Linked DNA regions of Arabidopsis thaliana. The protein of the gene in region 1 interacts with the protein of each later gene in a pairwise test. Each region holds a gene or a part of one and is shown in the gene's direction. Other genes may lie near its edges. The genes, in order: AT3G60300 and UBC29.

Region 1 (4,977 bases):
ACACTAGTGTCATTTTCATCCCTCTTATTAATTACATTACTCTGATCTTCTCTACAGGTTATAAACCATGGAATATCATCAGCAGTGGTGAAAGATGCACAAGATTCAGCTACAAGGTTCTTTGACTTACCTGCCGATGAGAAGATGCATCTGGTTTCTGATAATTTTCAGGAGCCAGTAAGGTATGGTACCAGCATAAACCATTCAACAGACAGAGTTCATTACTGGAGAGATTTCATAAAACATTACTCCCATCCTCTCTCAAACTGGATCAATTTGTGGCCTTCCAATCCTCCCTGCTACAAGTAAGTAAACCTATCTAGGCCAACTTCACTATCTGATAATAACTCAAATTTGTTCTCTTTTTACTGGTCTAAGAATCCAATTTCTCAATAGATGTTTCAGAATTTGCAAGAAATTTGTATCTAAAGAATGTGACTCAGAACTGATTTGATCATCTCGAAATATCATTTTCCTATCAGGGAAAAGGTGGGGAAATACGCAGAAGCAACGCATGTTTTACATAAGCAACTAATTGAAGCTATCTCAGAAAGTCTAGGACTGGAGAAAAATTACTTACAGGAAGAAATAGAAGAAGGCTCACAAGTCATGGCGGTAAACTGCTATCCAGCTTGTCCTGAACCCGAGATTGCCTTGGGAATGCCACCACACTCGGACTATGGCTCGCTGACAATCTTACTCCAGAGTAGCGAAGGGCTGCAGATAAAGGACTGCAACAACAACTGGGTTTGTGTGCCGTATATTGAAGGAGCTCTGATAGTCCAGTTGGGAGATCAGGTAGAAGTGATGAGCAATGGCATATACAAGAGTGTGGTTCATCGTGTAACAGTGAACAAAGATTACAAGCGGCTCTCTTTTGCAAGTCTTCACAGTCTACCTATGCACAAGAAAATAAGTCCAGCAACTCAGCTCGTCAATGAAAATAAACCAGCTGCATATGGAGAATTCAGCTTCAACGATTTTCTTGATTATATATCCAGAAACGATATTACACAGAAAAGATTCATTGATACACTCAGAAAGAAAAACCTCTGAAGATGGTGTCATATAACTCGACACGGCAATTCCGATGGTTGATTATTTGGACCTAGTTGCATGCATCTTGTATTTAATCTATGACTATCTTGTGCAAGTGAATAGTCCTTGTTTATATCACATAAAAGTATATTTAGTTGTCATATAAGTGTATCCTTATGCTAGATTCATATTAGTTTCTCATCTAAGAGCAAAGTTTGATAAATGGATCAAAACAGTAAGGGTTAAGACTTATCAAATCTCAAATAAGTTCCAAGACATTCTTCAAACTCTATATAAACATGAATTGTCCTGAAGCTTATAGAGAGAACAAAAAAAAAAAAAATCAACCAGATAACACAGACAATGAAATGAGATGTGAACAATTACCAAACATTTAACAGCTTAAATTCTCCATCTTTACAATACAGGGAATCAAACATGTTCACAAACCAGCCACGTATCGAAACAAGGAAGTAAAATGCTCGATTCAACGACATAAATCGTACAAAATCTGTTAAATAAGCTTGATTTCGTTCCAACAAACACAGAAAAATAAAACTTCTCAGAATTAAAAACAGCTTACCGTCAAGTTCTCTAAGTATGTACGGCCACAGCCTCTTGGTCCCCCGTCGGCAGATTCCCGGTAAAATTTAACTCCGGCATCGCTTACGTCTTTTTTTTATATTTGTTTTATTCCTAATCTTTTTCATATTTACTCTTTTTAACAGATATGTTTTAACATTTACTTATCGAGAATGTAGAAACTTCGGGGATTAGAAGTTAGGGAAAAAGGGTGAATTTGAGAAAAAACTATTTAATTTGGACAAAATCAGAATTATTATATAGTATTGGGCCGTTTCAGATATTTTAGGAAGCTACAATAAAATATATAATGAAAACTATTAGTGAAAAAACAAAAGTCTGCTTCTTCTTCGCCGTCTCTGTGCGGCCTCTTCCTCTTCCTCTTCTAAACAATGACGGAGGAAGAGGTAGCTATGGAAGTGGAAGCTCTAGAAGCAGTTTACAGCGAAGACTGCGTTATACTGGATTCGTATCCTCCTCATCTTCACCTCCATATCAAGCCCCGTACCGCCGAAATCTCTTCTCAGCAGGTTTTTTTTTCCCCCCAATTTGTTCTTCGGAATCGAGAACTATCTGAAAACTCCAGAATTTACGCAATGAGATTGTCAGATTTGGCGATCATCCATATAAGTAATTCGATCTTAAGAAGTAGAAAAATTTAATTGCTTTTGTTGTATGATTTGATGTGACTTCGATTTGCCCAAAATTTGCTTTCAAGTTTTTTTTTTTTTTTGGTTGCAAGAACTCAGTGATCCTCTGAATTTTTTTTTCTCTATGATCTGATGTTTGATGTATAACATTGTTTCTGCTCTGCAGTTTGTGGAAGCCGTTGTTAGATTCCAAGCAGGTTCTAAGGTAGATTTGTCATCAATGTTGTCATTATCCTGGAGCTTTGCGTAGAGAATCATTAAGCTAAAGTATCTTCTTTTGTTATTACAGTATCCAGATGAACCACCTCGGATTAGTCTGATTGAATCCAAGGGTCTTGACGAGCAAAGGCAAAAGCTTTTGATTGGCATAGTGCAAGAGAAAGCTTCTCAACTATCATCTTCTTTAATGCTTGTAGAACTTTGTGAGGTAACTACTCTATATATTTTCTTCTATTCTACTGTACTGTATGTGGAGCAATTCTCCTTCATTGCACCATGCTACTGCAAATCTCAGAATGTGACTTCTTTTCCTTGATGAAAAATAATCGACTGGTAGATTTAGTGTAATTAAAAGGAAATAAGTCGTATGCAGAAGAAAAAGTAGAGTTTTCTGAATCACGAGCAGACGATGTGTGTATGTGCGTGGATTTACATATGCAATCTTGATTAAGATTAGAATGTCATGTAGTGTATACTAAAAATATATGTTTCTAGGAAGCAGTGGAGAGGCTCACAATTATGAATCACCCGGAGGGAGATTGTCCACTGTGTTTGTATCCGTTATTCCCTGAGGATGGCGGGAGTAAACAAATGCCATTTATGAAGCTGATGTCTTGTTTTCATTGTTTCCACTGGTAATGAATAGTTAGCCTCAGTTACAATTCTCTTTCTTATGTTGGGATTGTATTCCAAATGTTTAAGGTGTCTAATTGTTCTTTAATGATTTCAAGTGATCAGTGAGTGCATCATTAGGTGGTGGAATTGGCTTCATGCACAGGAAGAGGCTGATTCGAAATCTGGTGACACTTTACATATGCGTAGAGGATCAACTGCTCGAGAAGGTTTGTATCATAAGGTCTTTTTTTGACGGAAACTACTGAAAAAGTAATCTGAATGAACAAGTATTGCAGGTAATTCTGGATCAGCAGATAAAAGCTTGGGAAACTGTCCAGTGTGCCGCAAAATTTTTCACTCGAGTGACATTGAACATGTTCTTGACTTAGTTGGTGCTCAATCATCTCTACAGGTGAGTGAGCCATCAACTTCGGATTCAATCCAGTGCCTTTCATTGATCTAACCCCTCAATTCACAATTTGGCTTACACGTAGGACTCTAGTTTAATACCAGGCAAGGACCAAGACCCGCTGCTCCAGTCAGATTCAGAGAACATAAGAAGAGAGCGGTTTGAGTCTATTCTAAAGACGCAGGAAGAAAAGGGTGGTTTGGTTCAACCGAAGAAAAACATATCGGTGGTGCCCGGTATGTATCTTCCTCCACCAGCTCATGCATCAACGTCACGAAACGAAGAAGAAGAAGCTGGTGAAAGCCAAGAACAAGGAGAAGAGGAACCCAAAGAAGCTGAATCAGAGACAAACTCTAGCAGCTCCACCAACAGGAGAGGTCGAGGGAGATGGAGAGGCAGAGGCAGAAGCAGAGGCCGGGGACCTACTGTCAATGAAAGGAAGCCGAATTCGCAAGATCCAAGAAAACCGACGAGACAATGGGTGCAGAGAGCCAGAGAAGGAGACAAATAATTTATGCTAATCTTGTGTGATACATCAAACTCAAACTCAAACACAAGATATATATATATTGTGAGCATATTACCAACGAAAATACATTTCTGTGAGCATATTTGTTTCTGATAAAGTAGCTTTAGGAAAATAGCAAGTACAAAAATACAAACCGCTTTAAAAAAAAAGATGGTGTCGTCTCATAATTGGGCCTCACTATCAATTGGGCTTGGGCTTAATATCTTACTTTCTTTTTTTTTTCGTCAAAGTGTTAATTAAGTTCATACTTCATAACTACTCATACCTCAACCGGTTTATGATCTGAGTGGGCATTACAAATATTTGGCTTAACCGGTTCCGAGCCATTTGTAATTTCCGAGTATCTACATCGCCGGCGATTGATTCTGCTCATCTTTTCGATGCCCTCTCCGTCTGCAGTCGCCGATCTCTTGGCCGCTCTTGCTTACAGGCTTCAGAACGGAGATGAATTATTCGAAGAAGAAGAAGAAGCGGAAGAGTCTACTTCTTCTATGGGACTAGCTATCTCGGAGCTTAACCGATCTCTGACTCTGGATATCGGCTGCGAGGATTCTGGGGTCAGGGTTGTGGACGCAGCGTTATCTATAATGTGCTTCAAGGCACCTCAGGTTAGTATCATATCTATCCTGGACTTGCATTGTTTCTACGTAGCTGAGTTCTTACTTGTGAGTGATTTTCTTATTAAAATTCAGGTTTTTGATTCGGCAATTGAGTTTATGGTACGAACAATTGTTTGCGCCTTATCATCTTCAAGCAATTGTAAGGTAATTAGGTATCGAAACGAGGAAACATTACAGTTTGGGAGCTCCAATTTACCTGGCTGCTCTGAAGAATTGATCGAAATCTCTAAGGATATTATTGAGAAACTGTGGGGAAATGGTGCGTTTGATTTAGCTTATCCTAGAGTTATCTGAAGATTTTAACTTTTGTTTGTT
Region 2 (3,784 bases), on another chromosome or scaffold:
TCTATTTCCATTGATGATCAAAGACGTTCCATCATAAGTTACTTCTTTCTTTTTATCGACCGATTTCGTCTTCTTCTCTTTGTCATCGCTTGAGAGAGCTCCAGAGAAGGAGAGGAGAATCACGAGAACGGCTAGTAAAAGCCATGAATGATCAGAAGAATGTATTTTCATTTGACTATCTTCTTCTTCTTCTTCTTCTTCTTGAGGATTTTTAAATTTAAACAAGAATCCACCTAAAGGGATATCTTCCTTGTCAGAGAAATAAAAACTTTAGAGAAAGAAAATGAAATAAGAGAATGTTTCGCAGAGAACATAAGGTTTCAGAGAAATTCACGTATTCTCAATTTGAGATTCCACATTTTGTTTGTAAATAAAACTTCCAATAACTCTCCCTTTTATTTCCTTATTTCCTCCTTTCATTTTGTTTTCGTTGAATTTTCTAATTTTAAGGTTTTTGGTTGAAGAGCCTAATTTGGCGGGTATACACACAATGACTTCTCTCAATCACCACCAAAAAGAAATGTGAGCCAATGCTTATGTTGAGAAGGTGCGTATTACACCAAAAAAAAATGGTTCATACGAAACCAATGATTTTATTTTATTTTATTATGTTCATTATAAACACCACTTTTGGTTCTTCTTTAATTGTGGAAATGTGGATTAAATCCATGAGAGATCTAACAAAAATTTGTGTAACCTGTTATCTAGTTATTATTCTTTGTCTACAAGTTGAGTAAATTTTTTTGCTGTAATTTGGATTATCATCGTTTAAACCTTTAGCTTATTTCTAACTTTAAATATCATAACGGCAAAAATTGTAAAAGCTTTGGTATGCTTCTTTTACGTAAAATACATAAATGTGTTGACCGTGTGGTTGAAGATTGAAAGCAAAGCAAACAACATTTGTTACAAAAAAAATGGCTATTTTTTTAAGTAATCAATTAATCGTCTTTTAAAAAATCGAGACCAACTATTGTTGAGAATTATTTTCCTCCCGTAATCACCATCATAAAATATCGGTTGGGCAAATCACGTAGCATGCATGTACATTAACTTTGGACTAACAGCTGTGGAGTTTCTTCTTATAGCAATATTCAAAAGACCTAATAAGTCTGAAATAAACAGAGGCTTGAAGGTTATACTTAGATTGAAAGGCAATGATTTACATTTACATATATAGGTTGATCAATGACGATCTCTACGATATGTTGTGATATAAATCTTTAAAATAAGGAAATAATATATGCATCACTGATTTGTGGAGTGTTCCTCACTCGACGCCACTCTGATTTGTAAATTTTTTATTGTAAAATTTTAAAGTATGTAAATAGGGCCTATAATTTTTTTTCCTAATGATACATGGGCCTATAATCTTAAGAAACTTTTGAAATGGGTCCTATAAGTTTTCAATAACTATTTTACCTCATCAAATGTATGTTATGATTTATGATTATATTTGTTGAACATGATGCTCATCACCCATCACTTTGCTGGTCCAGTGAACGTGGACAATAAGATTAAGAACAAAGGATATTGTAATAACCATTCTTTATGTTAAGTTATTCTGATTCTCAGACTTTATCAAATCCCATTATAGACCGTTCAATAGATATGGTATATTACAGTAAGCATGTACGTAAGACCATCCACTTCAAGGCACGTCTCTCTTTCAGAATCAGAACAAAAGAATGGATCTTTCTCCATTACCTTTATGGGCAAAGCGGGCGGCTAAAAAGAGACTTTACAATGGTAAATCTTTACTTAAACAATGATAAATGCAATAGTGCAAGCATTCCTGTTTGCAAGAGAATCACAAATCTTTGCTTACGGTTCACGCTTTAAAAACACAACTCTCATTCTCCTTCTCTTCACAAACCACTCATATTTTTTTTCACATACTTCTTTGTAGTGCTACTTTCCATTATATCAAACACTCAGCAACCTGATGGCAACGAGACGGATATTGAAAGAATTGAAGGAGTTGCAAAGAGACCCTCCTGTATCATGCAGTGCAGGTAAAGGATCACAATTTGTTCTTAATACAATATAAGCCATGTATCAGAAATTTTTTCTAAAGATTTTGATATTTCCTTTCTCCTTGGTTTGGGATTTTTAGGTCCAACAGGAGAAGATATGTTCCACTGGCAAGCTACTATAATGGGTCCGAATGAAAGTCCTTACTCCGGAGGTGTTTTCCTTGTCAATATTCATTTCCCTCCTGATTATCCTTTTAAACCTCCCAAGGTAACAACTTTCTCAACAATTTTTTTGTTTTTTAATCTACTTCTTAAATCCAATAACCAAAAGGCACAAAACCAACATTAAATATTGGATCGTTTATGATCTTTTGGAACCTTAAGTTTTGATCTTTATTTTCAATCTTTTTCTTCTTCTTTACTCTTGTTGTTATGTTTGTTTGATAAAATCAGGTTGTATTCAGAACCAAAGTGTTTCACCCAAACATCAACAGTAATGGAAACATATGTTTGGACATTCTCAAAGACCAATGGAGCCCTGCCCTTACCATTTCTAAGGTTTGAAATTCTATATATGTATTTAGTTATTTGTCAATATTTTCTATAATTCCATATATCAGATTTGGTATATAACCAAGAAGCTCCAATAGGTAACACAAATTACTAACATTTTGGTATTATAGGTGCTTCTCTCTATATGCTCTCTTCTAACAGATCCAAACCCTGACGACCCTCTGGTGCCAGAGATAGCTCACATATACAAAACTGACAAGACCAAATATGAAGCCATGGCTCGAAGCTGGACCCAGAAGTATGCCTTGTTTTAAAGCTCACAATTCCTCTTTTTTTCCTTTTTATTTTGGTTTGGTCTTATTTGTAATAAAAAAAGAAGAAGAAGAAATTGTTATAATTTTAATACAAACATATATAATATATAAAGTAGAGTTTTCAAAGTTGTTAACTCATATGATTGATGAGATATCGACATGTATTAAATCTAATTTTGTTAATATATAAAAAATCTTCTAACCCTATCGGGAAAATAAAATATATACATAAATCACAAAAATTATTTATATAATCAAAAAATTTAATTATATTTTATATAATAAAATAATTCATATTATTAGCGAATTTGTTTTTTTTAAAGGACCGTTCAAATATGTTTTTTTGTGTATTTTGTCGAAATTTTTGTTATTTTTCTTTTTATTTTGTTAAAATAACTCTAAAATATAGATTTCAAACAACACATAAAATAGTGAGATGCATAGATAAAGGTTATAATGGGAAAACTCAATAGTATCAAAGATAAATGAGAATTAATTATAGTCATGTTTGTGTAAAAAATTTAGGACAAGTTACTAATATTTAAAGTTTAAGCCTAGTTATTTAGTAAACAACAAAAATAACTTACGTTATCTAACGATATTTTTGGAGAATAGATAGATTGAAATAAGAGTTAGAACACTAAATATTGAAAACGTGTGTGGGTTACTATTTAAAATTTAAATATCATAAAGAATTAAAACACGAAGATGAAATATGTAGAAATATTTTTTCAGCTCTTATCCATTAAAATGAAATATATAGAATTAAAATTCAGTATATTTTCATGAAATATATAGTTAAATTATTGCAAAATAGAATGGATAAAATTAAATTTTGGTTTTAAAATATTTAGATAAAATGAAAAAGTGTACATTGCTATTAGAATTCAATTATTATTTGAAAAATTATATATGTTTTTTATATTCGCCTATTTAAACGGGGTTTATCTAATATATATATATATATATATATATATATAT

The links.
Region 2: the proteins of AT3G60300 (region 1) and UBC29 interact in a two-hybrid assay, tested with the Arabidopsis thaliana proteins (one large-scale study listed by BioGRID).

Annotation. Positions count from the first base shown.
Region 1 is NC_003074.8:22,283,359-22,288,335, forward strand, and holds AT3G60300 (RWD domain-containing protein), read left to right. Parts: upstream 1-1,904; 5' UTR 1,905-2,012; coding exon 2,013-2,171; intron 2,172-2,338; coding exon 2,339-2,368; intron 2,369-2,436; coding exon 2,437-2,475; intron 2,476-2,559; coding exon 2,560-2,697; intron 2,698-2,984; coding exon 2,985-3,124; intron 3,125-3,227; coding exon 3,228-3,331; intron 3,332-3,400; coding exon 3,401-3,516; intron 3,517-3,598; coding exon 3,599-4,024; 3' UTR 4,025-4,153; downstream 4,154-4,977. Other genes in the region: AT3G60290 (2-oxoglutarate (2OG) and Fe(II)-dependent oxygenase superfamily protein), read left to right, coding at 58-305, 483-1,056; AT3G60310 (acyl-CoA synthetase family protein), read left to right, coding at 4,423-4,650, 4,735-4,921.
Region 2 is NC_003071.7:7,265,935-7,269,718, forward strand, and holds UBC29 (ubiquitin-conjugating enzyme 29), read left to right. Parts: upstream 1-1,787; 5' UTR 1,788-1,945; coding exon 1,946-2,015; intron 2,016-2,116; coding exon 2,117-2,244; intron 2,245-2,429; coding exon 2,430-2,534; intron 2,535-2,659; coding exon 2,660-2,803; 3' UTR 2,804-3,121; downstream 3,122-3,784. Other genes in the region: AT2G16730 (glycosyl hydrolase family 35 protein), read right to left, coding at 1-171. UniProt on the Arabidopsis thaliana protein: Accepts the ubiquitin from the E1 complex and catalyzes its covalent attachment to other proteins.